Arabidopsis thaliana: one gene and its partners. The protein of the gene in region 3 purifies or fractionates together with the protein of the main gene of each other region. This does not show direct contact. Each region holds a gene or a part of one and is shown on either strand. Other genes may lie near its edges.

The links.
Region 1: the proteins of FMA (region 3) and AT1G15730 purify together in Arabidopsis thaliana (affinity purification with mass spectrometry, with the first as the bait; one study listed by BioGRID). This does not show direct contact.
Region 2: the proteins of FMA (region 3) and PyrD purify together in Arabidopsis thaliana (affinity purification with mass spectrometry, with the first as the bait; one study listed by BioGRID). This does not show direct contact.
Region 4: the proteins of FMA (region 3) and PSBR purify together in Arabidopsis thaliana (affinity purification with mass spectrometry, with the first as the bait; one study listed by BioGRID). This does not show direct contact.

What each region holds. Positions count from the first base shown.
Region 1 is NC_003070.9:5,406,882-5,411,970, forward strand, and holds AT1G15730 (Cobalamin biosynthesis CobW-like protein), read right to left. Parts: upstream 3,163-5,089; 5' UTR 3,057-3,162; coding exon 2,742-3,056; intron 2,644-2,741; coding exon 2,578-2,643; intron 2,500-2,577; coding exon 2,319-2,499; intron 2,219-2,318; coding exon 2,022-2,218; intron 1,858-2,021; coding exon 1,807-1,857; intron 1,712-1,806; coding exon 1,620-1,711; intron 1,438-1,619; coding exon 1,322-1,437; intron 1,236-1,321; coding exon 1,150-1,235; intron 1,005-1,149; coding exon 900-1,004; intron 792-899; coding exon 654-791; 3' UTR 520-653; downstream 1-519. Other genes in the region: TRFL5 (TRF-like 5), read left to right, coding at 1-429; AT1G15740 (Leucine-rich repeat family protein), read left to right, coding at 4,628-4,843, 4,920-5,048.
Region 2 is NC_003075.7:11,209,290-11,214,201, reverse strand, and holds PyrD (Cytidine/deoxycytidylate deaminase family protein), read right to left. Parts: upstream 2,959-4,912; 5' UTR 2,126-2,958; coding exon 1,757-2,125; intron 1,661-1,756; coding exon 1,362-1,660; intron 1,285-1,361; coding exon 672-1,284; 3' UTR 506-671; downstream 1-505. Other genes in the region: AT4G20953 (uncharacterized protein), read left to right, coding at 3,093-3,150, 3,338-3,674, 4,207-4,444. UniProt on the Arabidopsis thaliana protein: Monofunctional pyrimidine deaminase involved in the riboflavin biosynthesis pathway. Also has a reductase domain that lacks catalytically essential substrate-binding residues.
Region 3 is NC_003074.8:8,714,568-8,719,879, forward strand, and holds FMA (basic helix-loop-helix (bHLH) DNA-binding superfamily protein), read right to left. Parts: upstream 3,645-5,312; 5' UTR 3,510-3,644; intron 3,266-3,509; 5' UTR 3,206-3,265; coding exon 3,188-3,205; intron 3,052-3,187; coding exon 2,386-3,051; intron 2,274-2,385; coding exon 1,839-2,273; intron 1,609-1,838; coding exon 1,523-1,608; coding exon of another isoform or gene 1,519-1,522; exon of another isoform or gene 998-1,518; coding exon 958-997; 3' UTR 551-957; downstream 1-550. UniProt on the Arabidopsis thaliana protein: Transcription activator. Together with MYB88 and MYB124, ensures that stomata contain just two guard cells (GCs) by enforcing a single symmetric precursor cell division before stomatal maturity. Together with SPCH and MUTE, regulates the stomata formation.
Region 4 is NC_003070.9:29,734,284-29,737,529, forward strand, and holds PSBR (photosystem II subunit R), read left to right. Parts: upstream 1-1,668; 5' UTR 1,669-1,801; coding exon 1,802-1,961; intron 1,962-2,052; coding exon 2,053-2,111; intron 2,112-2,197; coding exon 2,198-2,253; intron 2,254-2,350; coding exon 2,351-2,498; 3' UTR 2,499-2,726; downstream 2,727-3,246. Other genes in the region: RECA1 (recA DNA recombination family protein), read right to left, coding at 2,801-2,923, 3,046-3,118, 3,226-3,246.

The DNA of each region.
Region 1 (5,089 bases), on a different chromosome or scaffold from region 3:
TTGGTAGCTCGAGAGCTTAAGGATTTTTTGTTGGAGATTCAAAGACTCATCGACCCTATAACAAGGCAAGATCAAGAACCTAACAATGCAATGGAGCATTCAGTTGATGTCACTCCTCAGCCTGATGGGGCAAATAGGACTGATGCAGAAGATAGTGAGGGAACATCATCGTCTAGAAGAGTCAGGCCTCATCTACCAACCCCGGAACCTCTGAATGTATCACCGTTGAAGAAAGGAAGATTAGAAAGACCGCGTCCCAGAAGGCCAATGAAATTCTGGACTTCTGAAGAAGTGGCAGCTTTGAGGGAAGGAGTTAAAGAATATGGAAAATCATGGAAAGATATCAAGAATTCATACCCTGTTGTTTTCGCTGATAGGAGCGAGGTGGATTTGAAGGATAAGTGGAGGAATTTACTTGGTCGTCAGTAGTAGGAATCTTACCTTCTAACTTATGGGCATTTTGGTTTTGGGATCTTGTGTAGTTTTGCCGCTTGTGTTAGAAAGGGACTCACTTTTTGTACGGTGAAGGCTTTAATATGTTCTTGATTCAGGCTCTTGTAGTTAGTGTCAAGCTTTAGACGATATTTCTTGTTCAAAAATCTATTGACCAGTTGATTACAAAATGGAATGATTTTAAATATTTGGTCCTATAATCAAATCAAGCAAGCTCTGAAACCCATCTCTAACTCCTCCCGGTTCAAATTCTTGCCGATGAAAACAATCTTGTTGGTTCTTGTTTCATCTTTTCTCCATAACCGGTCAGGTGATCCTTCAAATATTTCATGAACTCCCTGTTCCAACCATTATAAACCACAAACGTCAGAGATAATTTACATCCCAAGGCTTCGATGCTTTAGAATTCATCCGAAATGATCAAAATAATGACAAAGGTTGGTCACCTGAAACACGAATCTCTCGTCCATGTCTTGTACGGAGAGGATACCTTTCATTCTGTAGATATCCTCACTACGTTGGTACAATAGCGCCCCAAGCCACATGTTAGCCTGATCCATTTTCAAAACTAAGGTTATAGATGATGCAAGTAATCAATCGCACATCTCAACAATCGTTTTAATTATAAGTAACACGTCAGGTGCTACAGTTTTATGCATCACATGTGACACAACTTGAGCCATATTGGGTTAATACCTTCTCGAGGTCTAAGTCTCCTTCGCAAACTATACTGACTGAACCAACACCAGGGTCATGGGTGTGATCATGAGAATGGTGATGCTCTGCAGTTTCAGAAGCAAACTAATCAATGCATGTAGGCGATCGTTATTAAGTAATAAGGCCATTATTTGGTAACACTATAACATACCGTGTTCATGCTCATGCTCATGCTCATTGTGGTGATCATGGCAGTCATGACCATGGTGATGATCATCATGACCCTCGCGATCTTCTTTCTCTTCTTCATTCACAGAGCTTTCAATTCTGGAAAGATAAAATAGTTGGCCACCAGCAATAAATCAGAGTAACAAAATCAGCCCTCTTAAACCAGGAAATCCACAACCAATAAACCATAACAAATGTAAGGAGCTACAATTCACTTTGGACAGAAGTTTTCGGAGTGACTCGTAATAAGATTTTTAGTAAGACGTAAAATAAAACCGGACCTTTCTAGATCAAACCCTCCAATTCCAAGAACATAATCCAAGTCAACCTTCCCATACTTTGTCCGCTTCATGTGAGCCATGCTGTTTATGGTCTGGAAATAACCACATCATAAATGCTAACGCAGTGCACAGAGAAAAATAGATGTTCAAAGAGAAAAAAGAAAGAATCAGAAGAAGCAGAACCTACCTTTATCCGCTGCATCACTGAAGCTAGTTCTGGCTCACCAACAAGATCAGTCTACAACAAAGTACAAACAATTTTCAGCTTGTATGATATGTCGAGGAGAACATACATAGCAGACCATTGAAAAGCTTCTACTATAAGCATCCACCACACATTTCAAATACAAGTTATGGTGATGTTAATCATGAAAATTAGGTCGAAATAGAACTTCACAATACCTTGTTAACAATGATACGATCCGCGTAAGCTATTTGTTCAACCGCCTCATTGACATAGCCTTCAGGTTTGACCTCATCTAGATGCAAACGAGCATGTTTAGCATCAACCAGAGTGACAACCCCATCCAGCTTGACATCATTGAAAATTTCATCCTCAGCATAGAAAGTTTGAATAATCGGAGCAGGGTTAGCCAATCCTGAAAGAAAATATACATAATATATTCATTTATTCTTTAATAACATAGTAGTTGGTTCTTAACGAATCATGTAGCTCCAGAGTGATAGAAAATATTGAACCTGTCGTCTCAATAACGATATGGTCGAACCTTCCTTTCTTGGTCTGGACCATTTCAGAAATCATCCTCACAAGATCACCCCTAACAGTACAACACAGACAGCCATTGTTAAGCATCATTATATCCTCCGCTCCCGCAGTTTGAGCTGCCACAAGTGATCCATCAATGTCGACTTCACCAAACTGAGAATTCACATTTCAGAACAAATTAGTGAAACCATAAAACATAAAACAATCTCTATTCAGCTTCTCAGACAATACCTCGTTCTCAATCACGGCTATGCGCTTCCCATGATCTCCCGTCAATATATGGTTTAGCAATGTTGTCTATACACTCAGAAAAAAACAATTCCAGTGAAATTCAGAATCTGATCGCTCAAAATTGAGCAGGAATTTCCGAATCATGAACCCTAGATTAGCCTCACCTTACCAGAGCCCAGGAACCCGGTGATTATAGTGGCCGGAATTCGATTGTCGGGCAAAATCTCACTGGCAACATCGAAGATATCTTCATCATCTACAACGGCGAGCGAGGAATCAGAGGCAACGGCGGAGTGGAATCTCCGACGGCTGTCAGAGTAAAGCGCCGCGGAATAGAACGATGACGACTTCGTTCTGAGGGAAACTGTGGCTGTACTGAGCCTAGCAGAAGCGAACCGATGGTTCAAGGAGGTATTAGCTCGGGGAACGATGAAAGCAAGGAAAGTCGTGGCTATGTCGAGTTTCAACAGCGTCGCCATTGTTATTAGGGTTCAAGGTATTCTGTGAAGGTTCGGACATAGAGATAGACAGTTAGACACTTGCTAGCTTCAGAATTTACGCGGTTTTTTTACATTGTTTTTTTTTTCCGGTTCCATCCAACGGTCGAGATTTGACTTGTATTATTTCGAAAGAAAAACAAAATGGTAAAACATAAATGTATGAAAAAGGATTAAAATTATAGCACATGAGATATTGTAGTCATTTTTGTTACAAAATATATTAATCAGAAATTCAGAATGCGTGCATCAAAATTAGATGCAAAACTTGAAGAAGAGCATAATCCTAAATCTAGTTATAACAAATATATGGCGACAATTTCTGATATCAGTTTCGAGAATTAGTTTGTTTTGCAACTGTATTGATGTCAACAGAAGATAATGTGATTAAAATTGTTTCTAAAACAAGAACTGTCAAATTTCGAGTAATTATATTTATTGATTTTCTTGTTTATGCATATCCAAGGTTACTCTTCATCATCTCACAATTTTTTTTCGGTTATAAACTAAAAAATGTGGCTAATTTGAATATAAAGTTTGTATATTTAAAAGCAAAAAGTAACGTTGGTCCAATGCAAAAAAATTAAGAGTTCCCTATACTATTAGAATTTAGAAATGAAATACTATACGATTCGAAGTTTGTGTTGTAACGCAGGTTTAATTAATTGAGATGGAGTAAAACAAAAAGGAATAAGAAGAAAAGAAACAACAAGGAACATCAATACAAAAGAAATAAATCGTTGAAATCTCAAAGAGGGGTCCACTTAAAAGTGGGACCTTGACCTTCTTTATTCTTCCATCTTATCTCAAAAACGCATTAGATTGTTCCGAACCTAACTCCTTTCCTCACTAAGGGTGATTCATCTTACACGTGTCATCCGATAGTAGGTTAAGAAACAGGCTCGGCTCACGGCCACTTTGCACATTTCTATACTCTTCTCTCTTTCTTATTCCTCACCTTCCTTGTTCAATCACCGTCTCCTCAAAATCACAACACCAACAAAACAAAAAAAAGGTTTTGATCAAAGAGATCACTGTTAAACCCTCACAAAATTTCCTCAGGACTAATAATCTGCGATCGATCGTCGTTATGATAAGGTACGTATCAGCTTATTCGATCAACTAGCACAACTGTTTCCTGGTGAACAGTTACTTTATATTGCTTCCCTTTACTTGTCTTTTATATTAAGCTTGCTAATCTCTTTGATTCGTTTTTGTTTGAATTAGCTTTACTTTGGGTTTCTGGGTTTTACTGTTGGGAATTAAACGCTTCACATAGTGATGATTCACACTTATCTCATTTGTTACTGTAATTGTTTGTGTTTGTTTTCATCCGATTGATGTGAGTTTGAATCATTTTATCGTATTTGACTATCTCTTTTTGATGATCGTACGAAAGTAGAGATCTTTGACAAGGTAAATGTGGTTTTTTTTTTATGTATAAGAACCTGCAAAGTTGAATGAAAAATTCTTGGGGAAATTTTTGTAAGTCAAATTTTTGACGTGAGTGAGGGATTGTGATCGTGCTCTGTTTCAGTCTCTAAAGAAGATTGATGATTCTGGATTACATTATCATGGGAGGAGCTTGTTCAAGGAAGAGAGATCAACAAGTTGAGGATATTTTAAACAGAGGTGTCTCTGGAAAATATAGCAAGAGTTCAAGTTCGAAATGGTTAGCTACTTCGCTCTCTAGGTCTGGCTCCGATGTTAAACGGAAGAATGGAGAATGCCCGTCGCTTATGGAGCTCTGTGTCCGCAAGATACAGGAGGTATATTGTTTCCACTTACCAGGCTCTAATTAGTGTATAAACGCTAGCCTAATGTTTGAACTCTGTTTCATTGCAGGACATTGATAGATATACCAAGTTCTCTGACCTACCTAGAGATATCAGTCAGCAGATTTTTGATGAATTGGTTTATTCCCAGAGGTTAACTTTAAAGTCTCTTGAGGCATTTCGGGACTGTGCAATCCAGGTAAAGTCCTTGGTGTTTCTCTTGTGTTCATGTCCTATTAG
Region 2 (4,912 bases), on a different chromosome or scaffold from region 3:
AATAACATTCATACTACAAATTTTCAGATTAATAGTAAATGATTAACTCAATTGAAACAACCATTATAAAGAGAGATGGTGTAACTGTAGAGTAATTTTTTAATACAATAATGCTATGAAACAATAAGAAAGACTAAAATTCATGCTATTGTAAATCTTAAATTTGAAGTTAGGAACTTAGGATTGTTAAATCATAAAGTGATTTAAAATTGACTATTGTATAGTGTTTATTTCGTTCTTTCTTTCGAATATCTCTAGATATATCGGTTTTGACAAAAACAAATCCAACATGGTTGATGTTTGTTGTCAGTTAGTTCACATTTCCACCAAAATCCAAAAAGAATTGTCAAATTTGTAACGCAATCGACATCAACAATCAGTTCTCATTGAATGTACTTCACATTCTATTACACATCCTTAATTTTTTTTATGGGTTTTGGTTTATGAACTCCAATTAAGAAAAAACATCTCATCTTAGGATACCCATCATGTGTAGGCCATAGAAGGTCGAATCAGATTCTCAACATGTGAAAATATTTTCTTTTGAAAATACAACATTTTCTCAAAAATCTGTTATCAATCTATTAATAATAGGATCTGTAAAACCTTAATAATACTATGCTTTAAAAAAGGTAAATATCATGACTTGTATTCATTCATACATGAAAACATCAAAAATAGCCCTCTAGCAAAACGCTTCCACCTAATTGCTTAGACTGCAAATCTTTCACATGCTTTGATTCTAACCACTTCATCGACGCGATCTGTCTCTCATCTTTTGTGCTCCATTCCGGCAAGACCTCAATAATTACTTTCTGCAATAGTTTCTGCTCAAATCCATCTCTCAGAAGAACTTCAAGGTCTTTGACGTTCCCCCTCAAATCTAACAAGACACTGCATAGTCCACGGTTGTAACAATAATCCAAAATGGAATCCAAGTTTATCTTTTCCAATACTACGGTTTCGACCCCGCTACTACTGATTCCGGATTCTGCAACCGATTCCTTTGCGGTGAAAACTACAACTTTTGGACCCGATTCTTCCACAGTGTGGGAAGAAGCAAGGATATGAGACTGTTGTGCATTGCTAGCTACTATGATCTGAATAGGTTGGATCGAAACATTAATAGCTTCTTGTGAAGAAATGCTCGAGAGTTCATCCGATAACGAGGAAGAAAGTATTATCGCATCATATTCCTGCAATAGCTTCGAGTAGTATCCACCACTATCCGAAGCCCCTTGCCCAATCTTGTCTAGCAAACAACCATTGACAGACATAGAATACCTGCAAAGATTTTCAAAACTTAAAAACAATCTATTGACTCGGATTTGTCTCCACTCAAGAGAAGCAATGAACTTTACCTGAGGGCGAGAAAAGGCTTCCCTGTTAACATTCGATGGATGAATCCCTCATTCATCTTCTTGCATAACTCTTCTTCAACACTCACAGTAACATCGATTCCAGCATCTTTCAACCGACTAATACCCGAAGAAAAAACAATTGGATTCGGATCAACCATCCCAATAACAACTCTTCTCACCTTAGCCTTAATCAATGCTTCTGTACACGGCGGTGTTCTTCCGTAATGATTACATGGTTCCAAACTAACATAAGCAGTAGCATTCTCAGCTAACTCTCCAGCATCTCTAAGAGCAAACACCTACCATACCAATGCCAACAACAACAATTCCACAAGCAAGACTTAAAGTTTGCTCATTTTCAGTAACCCAACAAAGAAAGATTGAATTTTTGTTACCTCAGCATGAGGCTGACCAGCTTTGGGATGAAACCCTTGGCCAACAATGTCACCATCTTTGACAATGACACAACCTACCATAGGATTAGGACTTGTACACCCAATTGCTCTTTTTGCTAGCTCCACACACTTTCTCATATAAAACGAATCATCGACTTCAACATCTTCTTCTCTTCTCATGGCAGCCAAAACTGGATTGCTGAAACCAGTCTGAGATTTATGTAATCTTTTGAAGAAACAGTGATTTGGGCTCTGAAGTGAAGTGAGGTTGAAAATGCGGCGAGGATTTGAGGAGAGTGATGGTAAGAGTGGAATTGAGGTTCGAGGAGTGATCGAAGGAATCGAAATTGGGAGACATGAGATCTGCATATCACTATTGAATCTTGTTCTTCACTAAAATCGAACCTCGAAGATTAAATTGCGGATTCGGGCCGTCTCCGTCAGCAGCGGTGAGAATACAGCCGAAACCCTAACATCAACGGTGGTAGAGAAATAGAGACGACGACGACGACGAGAAGATTGGATTTGTAATTGAAAGAGTCGGTTAAGACTAACCGGAAACCGTAACAGTCATAACCATCGGTTTACTAGGCTATTTTAAATTTTGTTTTAGACAGTTATACATATCCGGTTTAAGAAACACCAATGAATTGGGGTCTCAAGGGCCAACAGACTTGTCTCAATAGAGATAAGAAATAAAGAAACCCAAAACGCAAGAAACGGAAAAAAGCATACATTGTTGATTGTATTTGGGGTCTCGCCCTTCTCAAGAATTGGGGTCTCGCCCTTCTCAAGAAGCTCGTTAGCTCGCTCCTCTTCGTCAAGCTCTTCAGATCGCCTTTAAGCTCTTCAAGCTCCTCGGCTCGTCCTCAAGCTCCTCAGCTCGTCATCAAGCTCCTCAGCTCGTCTTCAAGCTCTTCCTCAGCTCGACCAACTCCTCGTCTAGCTATCAGCTCATCCCTCGACTGCAAAACTCATCTACCTCCTCGCCTAGCGGCAGTTCGTCCATTGACTGCATAGTCCACCTATCTCGTCGCCCAGCTCGTCTACACCAGCAAACAACTCGGTTTGTCCAAGTCTCTCTACCACGGTTCATCCAGCTCGTCGCACATTTGCCGGCTCGTCAACTACCTGCCGACCTACCTCCAATGACGGCCTAGCTCACTTATTCTAATATGAACTACGTGTGGCTTGATCCCTTTCTGAGGGTACGTAGGCAGCCTTTTACAAGGTTCAGCTATAAAACGAATAAACTCTATTCTTCCTCGGATATCAAGATCGTTTTCCGGCCTCAAGCTCGTCTTTCATCTACAATCGGCTCGTTCTTTTTCCATTTATGCTTGTTGAAGAAATCATCCTTTGTAATCCGTCCAATTCGCCTAAGTCGCGGGCTCGTCATTAATAGAACGATTCTTCTTCCTTCCCTAGAGATCCCATTTTCGTACTTGTGTGATTCGTGCATCAACGGTTGGCGCGCCAGGTAGGGGGATAGCTCGAAGATATCTCTCAAAACTACGACCCAGCGACGAAGCAAAGTGACAACAAACAGACTACATGGAGCATTCGATACCGACTCGTCAGGCTCTGGAAGTAAAACGACAACGTCGATCCCCGGGAGAGCCAGTCACTCGACCTCTTCATTCGATATCGCAGCATGTTCTCCGACAAGAAAAGGACTTCAAGGAACTATCGACCCCATCATCCTAGGCGATGACACTTCCAGCCGGGCAGTCAGGACAATAACACTGACCGACGAGGAAGTGCCACCGATCAAAGAGGAACATCCCATAACCTCAATAAACATACCGACCTCGTTATCACTCACGCCTAACCAAGAACAAGAGGAGAAGTCATCAGGCGGACGTCACTTGGAGAACCTCGACGATGACACTCCCAGCTCGGCAGCTCGGACGATAACGTCAGCGCACGGGAAAACTCAAATAAAGAATACTACTCGGCGTCATCTATTGTACCGACCTCGTTATCGCCCACGCCTGAATACCTAGCGTTGCAAAAAGACCAAGGAGAAGCTTCACTTAGCTGATTTCATCGCCTGGACGATACGGCTAAAGCCAACCAACGCGGCGAAGAACTAATCAACATCATCATCGATCATTTAAAGCAGCGCGACGCGATTATTAACCGCCGCCCAAGAGCACATACAAGATAAAATTAGCCGCATGCACATGAGTCGTTATTCGCATACCCGACCTACGCGAAGAAATTCAGGTTGTCTTAAACAAACCCAGCTCGGCAATTCCTCAGACCGCTATAAACGAGATACCAAGTGCAAGACCTTCACGCCCAAATCAATTGAGCCATCTCCAGGGTCCATGAGGTCGGACGCGCCATAAGAGATATCGACGATCCGACACTGACGCCAATGTTTTGCGAATACCGCAAAGCAATGACCACACCAAAACGACTAACAAAACACATCATGTCGGCAGGCTACGAGAAGCTAAACGAAAGAACCAGACGGCTCTGGACGTACACAACGACGCAACCAACCAAACGCCATTTGCGCCATCTTGCAAAGTGAAAGTAACAGCACCCGCTGGAGCTAGGCGAACTGAAGAAAAGCCAAACTCTCCTCAACAGCGAAATTCACATCGTCACTCAAAACGTCGGAGATCTCGTTCCAACGCCATCCCACTAAAACGAAGAAAACGATGCCACTTAGCATAACGTCACGTCGGACGAACGAACTGACAAGAACTAGGGCAGACATTGAGCATCGTCTTTTCGATAATTGTATCAACGAACTCGACCGTCAAAACTCGATCGTACCACAAACTCTTGCGTTGAGATAAGTAAAATTTTCATTTTTGTCGTAATTCAATTCATCATTATTCTTAAAAAGGGTTCCGCTGGACCTCGTAGCGATCGAGCTAATTTACATCGGTGTCCTGGCCCGGCATTCGATCGATAAACGAACGCACGAACCCCTTTAAGTATGCCATGTATCGGTAAAACGGTCTTGGATAAAACCTACACTTAAGGGAGTGCTAAGCCGAGCTCCGCGCTCGCACCGTTTCGACGGAATCAATAGTTTCGACAAACTTTGGTTTCGTCTGACAACCGATTAAGCCGAGCTCCGCGCTCGCACCGTTTTGACGGAATCAATAGTTTCGACAACTTTGGTTTCGTCGGACG
Region 3 (5,312 bases):
CGACAAAAGAAAAAAGTAATCAGAAATCTAGATCAACTCTCTCCATTTTCAAAAGTAATTACAATGATTATCTTACCATTTAACACAATAATACGATTGACAAACACGAATCTTTTTTGCTTACCTTCGATGAATTAATATAAGCTATATAACAAAGGATCTTCAAGTCTTGGACGGATTTGGAATTGGAATTCTCTGGCCTTGGACTCTGTCAAGATCTTACCCCCGTACGAACCTACTTGGTGTGAGAAGAAAACCAAGCAGTGCTTTTGGAATTTATTGTGTATGTGTCGGATCTGACTTGGATTAGAGCTAATGGTGAATATATAAAGAAGATGAAGACAAGAGTTTCGTCTTTGTTGACGTACGAGAGAAAGATTAAAGACAATCATTTTGAGTCTCCTAAATGAATTTGTTTTTCTGAATTCTGACACTTAGTTTCTTTAGTCAAATCACTTTTGAAAAAGTGTAAAAGCGTCACTTTGTTTAACCGAATGGTCAATTTTTTGAAGATTAAAACTGGCTATTTCTAACCTTTTTTTTCTTCATGTTTTCTTGTTGTATATATATTGGCCCATTTCTCATAGACAAATCTCAAGAAAATGATAGTTCCTCTCCCTCCCCTCAAGAAAAGTTTTCATGCATTGTTTTTTTCTTTTCTTTTTTATTTTGTGAAAAAAGTTATTTCAAGTAAATAAGTGGTTTAGCATTCTAAACCGCTTGTTCAAAACCTACAAATCAAAGCAGCAGAAATCACAACAACGAGTTCTAACATTACAAGCGACACAATCATCACTAAAATTTAAATTGCATGAAAAAAGCCCCAAAAAAATAAAGTAAGCACTCCCTTTAACTTAAACACTCTTCCAAATGCTTGGAGAATAAAACCCAATATGTAGAGATTATTACGTACTGTAATCTTCACCAGTGTACAAAGTTGTCGCCGTGTGATGATTTTCAAGTAAACACAATATTTCCCAGGTTAGAGCTTCCAGATCTGAAATAAAATTGTTTCCAAGCTTTAACACTTCAAATATTGTGATAAATATGTTACAATATATATATATATATATATACACACCATATGTAACACACAAAGAAAATAACCATGATAGATTAGATACACCATATATATCTAACATTAAAAGCAAATAATCATAACATCTAAAAGGTAAAAGAACAAACAAAAGACAAAAGCTAGACATCTAAAATAGTAAAATGTATAACATCGAACCACCAATATCTTTTACTCTAAGACTTTTTACCAGACTCATATACTCACACACTCACAGAGTCACACACACACATAGTAATGATGTCTTGATGATTAGATAGACCACATTGCACACAAAAAGATATAATCATGACATCTAAAAGGTAAAAACAAACAAAACACAAAAGGCATGTGAAATGGATAACAATGAACCAACATAAACTTTTGTTTTAAGGGACCAACAGAAACTTATCAAAAGTATCTTTAATCGAAAGAATATTTAAATAGCAGAAAAATATATATCCTTACATGTTGGTATTTGCATGAATGAAACTAAATATCTGTTGGATGGAACTTGCTATGTCTTCTGCCGTAAACCTCGTTTCACTTGTTATCTGCACATATTTTACATCTACCTCATGTTAGCCATTGATAGTTATTACATATACTTTAACAATACAAATCCATAATCTATGATTATATTGAAAACCCTAAATAAAATTATAAATGTGTTTTATGACAGCTAATCCAGATTAGATAATTACATGTATTATTTGATGAGTCTAGATTTTGCATATGAAAGCTGAATATGAATGATGAATTACTTTTTAACATATAAACTTGCCTTGACATTAAAGGAGTAGAGGACGGTTTGTTCCATGGTAGTGATGTTAGTGTGAAGAATAGAGAGATGAAGATCCTCCAAAGCAGCTATAGTCTTAATCAGCTGTCCCGGCCTTCTTCTTGAAAGTATCTTGATCATGGCGTCAAACCCTAGCAGCTTCACCTCCACGTCAGCCAAGCACGACTTGTTCTCCGCAGTCTCCTCCCGAAGCCCTCCTCCGCCCTCTAGCTCGGTTACATTTCCCGTAATAATGAGCGGTTGTGCTTGGTTCGCTACCGTAGTTATGGGAGAAGAAGAAGAAGTCGTTGTCGTTGTCATGTCCCTACCGGTTTCTCCTAAGATTCTTCGACGCTTCTGTGATTCAAGACATTGTAGGAGTTGCTCGAGCTCTCTCACAAACTCTATTGCTCCTCCTATGATTGACGCTTGGTCTCCCTATTTTATACAATTAATATTTGGTGTAGACAGTATAATTAGTTGTACATATACATATAAAAAAACATTCACGAAAATTCTTTCTTTAAGATATAATTTATGAATATCATACCCTTTGAACGTAGGAGCCAGGCATGAGAGATCTAAGGACACGAAGATGCTCATTCATTTGCTTCCTACGGTTTCTTTCGACCGCGATATGAGTCATCCGTTGGCTTTCCACTTCTTCGCTGGTCTTGCTCGTTCTAGCTCTCTTCCTCTTGCTCTTCACCTCCTTTTTCGTAACATTCTTGTTCTCCCTATCTTCTTCTTCTCCTCCAATAAAACGTAGTTGCACGGAGTTGTTGTCGTTGTCATCGTCTTGATCTTCTTTTTCTTCAAGAAACACATTGCCTATGTTTCCTCCACACTCACCTCCTTCTTGAGACGTCTGATGAGAAGGCATGAGATGTTGGGTTTGGTTATGGTCCTCTATTTTGTCGTTCAAGACAGGGAACTTCAAGAAATAAACGGGGTCAATCCCGGTTTCTTGATCGTCTTGGTTTCTGGTCTGGTTCAACGCAAGTTTCGAACCGAAGTCCGCAAACTGCATCACATCAGAGAAGTTCATTTTATCAAAAGGTGTTGCTCCAAATCCGGAAGGAGAGAGTTGATGTTGCTGCTGTTGTGGCATCGATTGCTTTTGTTGTTGTTGAAGGTTTCTATTGAACATATAGTCTATCATACCAGAGCTGTTATCATCGTTACCGCCTGAGGATTCACCTAAGAAGTTTGGTGCCTAATAAAAACCAGAATTGGAGAATGAAGTTAATATCATAAGCAGGAAGATTTGAATCTTATACATAGATATCTATCAATTTGTATAAGAAAAGAGATTAAGGATCTTGAAATACTGGAAAAAAAAACGTACGTACCGAGTAATCTTTATCCATTGCTATTCGTGGTAGTTGATTATAAACTGCTTAAGTCTAATGAAGGTCAAGCTTCTTGACCTGATGACAACAATCCATGAGCTTCACAGTCAGTTTTAAAAACATATACATGAAACAAAAACACACGTAGAACAAGTTAAAACCAAACCTAGGCAGATTACATGTTTCACCATATACATATACATGTATTTTATATGTACAAAACAAGTTTTCAAATTGAATTTTGACAATTAAAAAAAATGATTAACACCAAATATATTAGAGCTTTGTTTAGTAAGGAGTTAACAAAATAAAAGGGACTGACCTTGTATGATTTGCTAGGGTTTACGAGAGATGTATATAAAAGACGCAAGACATGCAAGATAGTAGAAGAAGACGGATTAGAGAAGACAAAACTTAAAAAAGTGAGGGGAGCTTTTTGTATTGAGAAGTCATAAATGAGTAAGCATCACCAAGCTCCCATATTTATAGAGAGAGATACATTATACATGTGTACACAAGGTATAGCAAGGGGGCATTAAATTTCTTAAGTATGTATATTCGTAATCATTTGTTTCTCTAATTACTAATTAGGGTGTGAATGGTACACATTCGTGACCCAATAAAAACAAATTAAACGACTTAAAAAAAGATACGTAAACATGTTTCAAAAAAAAAAAAAACAATTTTCTAAAGAATAAAGATAAATGAAAATCTACATAAGTTAATCTAAAATATTGAGGATTAGTAGTAAGTAGTTTGATTGCAGTGGCTGTTTTATTCTACTATCATATTCCCATTAATTATCGAGACATCATTGTTTTTCGCAATTTTCTATGCATTCTCTTTTAGTTTCTAAAAGTAGAGAAATATCAACCATCACATAAAATGTTTTAGAAAATCTAAAAACTACAACCAAAAGATATCAATCGTGGGAAAAATGAATTTTCGTTACTATTGTCCTTTTTTATTGCTTTGTAAGAAAGAAAAAGGGATGTTATTATTGCCCTCTTATAATTGTTAGAGATACTTAATGCTTAGTAAAAAAAGCTTCCAATTGTAGCAGGATAAAGCCGTGCAGTCGGAAGTTCTCAATGTCTCCCCAAATGCTTTTGCAGAAAATCATGATTGGCTAATCAAAAGATGCTCATTCAATCAATCCCTTTGTATTATGCACATAATGTGTCAATATTAATTTTCATCCCATTTGATATATAAATATCATTACATATATAGTTATCTAGTTCTTCTCTATCTTCTACATAGAAACACATAACAATCCAAATTTTACGGTCAAATTTGAAATGGGGGATCTAGAGCAACTCCCTAGCTTATTTTGAACAAAAATTAAGTTCAATATTGACTCAAAAGAAAGATTATTGAATATTCCAAATCATATCTTGTTTTTGTAATAAATACTCTATTTCTTTTTGCGTTAGACGTAAGGGTGAGGAGCCACAAAATACGAAAAAAGAAGTAACGTGAAAACACACGTGTATCAGCTGATCACCTCTCTATCTATCTATCTTTTTTTTTTGTTTGTCAAACCATAAATGATAAGATTTGAGTTTTTAGAGTTCACAAGCCAAGGCCGCTCTTTTTCCACCGCTTTTCGTGAACTTAATCAAATCTCTATACGCTTCTCATCTTTTAGTTTATTTCTATAGTATTTCAAATTCAAGCACTTATATTAGTTATGTGTTGTCAATAAAATATGATTTCTAATAAAAATATTCTGGTCAAATATATGAAATTAGTTTCACGAACATGACCTATACTATTTGTGTGTGTACGTGGAGACATATACATTTAAAGAAAAAGACACTGGTGTGGATGGTTACGTTTTAACTTTTAACAAAAAGTGGAGTAAAAATTCACGTTGATCAATCCAGTGAACTTTTTCGGGAATAAGAGTCGCGGATCCATAGGAGTATTTTAGTAGGTGCATATTACACAAATACTATGTTGAAAAGAAAAAAAGAAACATGAAAGAGCTTGCATCGAAGCATCAACCAAAAAAAATACTTGCTGCAACCATTCCCAATTGAGCCAACAAAACAACTATTACGATACATAACACCCACAGGCCACAAGCATCGAAATACTGTAAGATATATAGATTTTAAGA
Region 4 (3,246 bases), on a different chromosome or scaffold from region 3:
TCAAAAAGTTCTTCGAGGAGAGAGAGACGACAAAGTTTCGCGTATATAGAGAGAGAGAAGAAGACAACAAGATATAATCCATTGAGAAGAAGGCAACAGTATAATTAAGTCGTTAATCATTATTAATTAGCATTGTTTTTGGCTAATTAATTAGCGTTATTAGTCGTTGTTAAATGACCTTACTTACTTACTGGAGTAGTCTAATTTTTTCTGGGTCCCACTTTACTTCCAAGAGTGTGAAATCACCTGCGGCTGGTCCTACTATACCATAAAGTCAAAACCGGACCGGTTCAGTTCTGTAAATGTTGAATTCTAAGCAATGGATTTAAGTATTTAACCGAACCGACTCTTTAAAAAATTGCTGTTCGACAAGTTTATACAATTATTACTGTTCAATTCTTCATTTGGCATTATATGATATATCGATTTAGTTGTGACTTTTGAGCATGTGTTTTTTTTTCTGATTCTAAAGTTGTTTTGGAAAAGATTGTTTGTTTTCATTTGACATTATATAGTTAAGCATGTTCTGTTATCTGTATACAAATCATCGTGCTTGTGGTTTTGGGATTATGTGAAGTAATACAGCAAAGATGCGTAATTTATTTTAAGTATCAAAATTATTCTCTTATCCACATTGTATATAGTCAAAATATATATTACAGACTGAATTAAACAGACTTAATAATAGGCAAAATGTACATATATTTGCATTAGAAGATTTCAATATATGTGTTTTTTTTCTTTCAGAAAGGTCATTTGACTCATAAGTTATAACAGCTAGCTTATATAGTCCTTAGTCCTTACTCATGAAAAAAGAATAATTTGTTTTGTTATTTGGGGTCTACTACTAACATTAGAAGCAGACGTGGGATTTAATTTGATTTATTAAAATTGTGGTGGGTAATATTTAGACTGAATCTATGAAATCGATAGCTTGTAACCTTACTCACTCTCAATTTAATTATATTAGTTTTGTTTCTCATCACGACTGAGACGTGTAACGAATATATCGACTGATCAACCACTAGTTATTAATTTAAACGACTTTAATTTGTATTAATATCATATCTTAATGACTTGAGTAGAAGAATAATAGAATAAGCATAGAAAACATTGACCAAATCCTTGTGTACGATACAATCATGTATTATATACAGATTTATTTGTTACTAGTAAATATGATTAGAACTTGCATTAGACAATGGTCAAGTTTGTTGATGTTTCCAGTTATGGAGAAGCCATAATTTGAGTAGCATTAGACATTGATTAATCAAGAAAAGAAAAATAATATCATCTACTAGTGTCAACACTACAGACGCAGCGAGCGAGCAATTATAGACGCAGTATCTAAACGCTGATCGGTGTACGAATTTGCGGTTCATTTCAACGCTTGGCAAAATTCACAACGTGGAAGACATTGCGAGTTTACGACAAACTAGTGGGGTTGTTTTAAGTAAACTAAAACTTGTAGGGGTTTTCTCAAAAATAAAATAAAATAACTTGTAGGGGTCACAAATGAAAAATAAAAAGTATTGAATATCCTACGTGGCATTTGTTTTTTTCATCTCCTACGTGGCATTACGAAATGAAGAAAAAACTGATCTGACGGATCTGCTTAACCAGTTGAAGATAACGTTAGTAAGGAAGATATCCAGACCAAAGCCACACAACATTAGCCACGTGTCATAACCACAATCACTTACCGGATCTTCTCTCCCTCGTATTTGAAGCCACACAACATGAACATTAGGGTGAGAAGAGATCGAGAGAAGAATAGTTTGATCATCTTGTGAGAAAAATAATGGCTGCTTCAGTGATGCTATCTTCGGTGACATTGAAACCAGCTGGTTTCACGGTGGAGAAGACGGCGGCTAGAGGATTACCGTCGCTCACAAGAGCTCGTCCCTCCTTCAAAATTGTCGCCAGTGGCGTCAAGAAGATCAAGACCGACAAGCCCTTCGGTTCGTTTATATTATTATTACACAGACTTTTACAACATATACACGTTACCGTTCATGTATAGCTTATTTCCGTTAATCGATGTGTGTGTAGGAATTAACGGCAGCATGGACTTGAGGGACGGCGTCGACGCCTCCGGCAGAAAGGGCAAGGTTTGTAGTAACTGAAAACGGTGTTGTTTAATATCCTTTTTAATAATAATTTGGTGGGTTCTCTAAACAATGACGTATAATCGCAGGGATACGGTGTTTACAAGTACGTCGACAAGTATGGAGCTAACGTCGATGGATACAGGTGAATTAGAATTATCATCCTCCATAACATTTTTTGTAGATAAGAAAGAACCATGGATTACGTAGTAGATGATTGATTTTTAATGTTTGGGTTGCAGTCCTATTTACAACGAGAACGAGTGGTCAGCGAGTGGTGACGTGTACAAGGGAGGAGTCACCGGATTGGCAATTTGGGCGGTAACTCTCGCCGGAATTCTTGCCGGAGGTGCTCTTCTTGTGTACAACACAAGTGCTTTGGCTCAGTAAATCTTAAAGTTGTTAGCGCATGTGTAATCATGTTTCTATAAATGTTTCTGTGTTGTTCTCTTTCTCTCTAATGTTGTAAAACTCAGACATACTTTGAATTTATAAGACTTCTAGTGTTTGTATATATATTCATCTTCCTATCCTTTATGATTTCCATGCACAAGAATGGTTTCGGATTTAAGACTGAACCATATGAGTGTTTTTTTTTAATTGATGAAACTTGAAACAAGAGGTGAACATGATGAGAGAAAATCAAGTGTTGTACATCCATAGATCCGAAAGTCTCAAGCTTAAGTGTTATGTCATTGGAAATCGTCAAGCGAGTCTTCTTCTTCTTCTTCGCGATGTGAAGCCGAGGAAGAGCTGCTGCTCATCAAAGGAGTTGATCGATGAACTTCTCCATCTAACATCAACAATCTCACTTTCTGCAACACCATTGCCAACGTAAGGAGGACGAATTGATGCAAAAAAAATTACGTTCTTGTTAAAAGGATGGATTTTTGCAATCTTCAGAGATGGGTTAAGATTAAGAATAGAGGAAGCAAACCTTCTCAATTTCGTCTTGAAGAGCAGGGTTTTCCCTTAAGTGCTGCAGTGCTTTCTCTCTTCCTTGCCCGAGCCTGAAAACAGAGACCCAAAACACAACCATATCTCATACTCTGTACCCACTTCTATAACATAATCAAAAGTCTTCAGGAATTATGAGTTTTCAATGTAGAATCCAAACCTTTGGTCTTCGTAGCTGTAC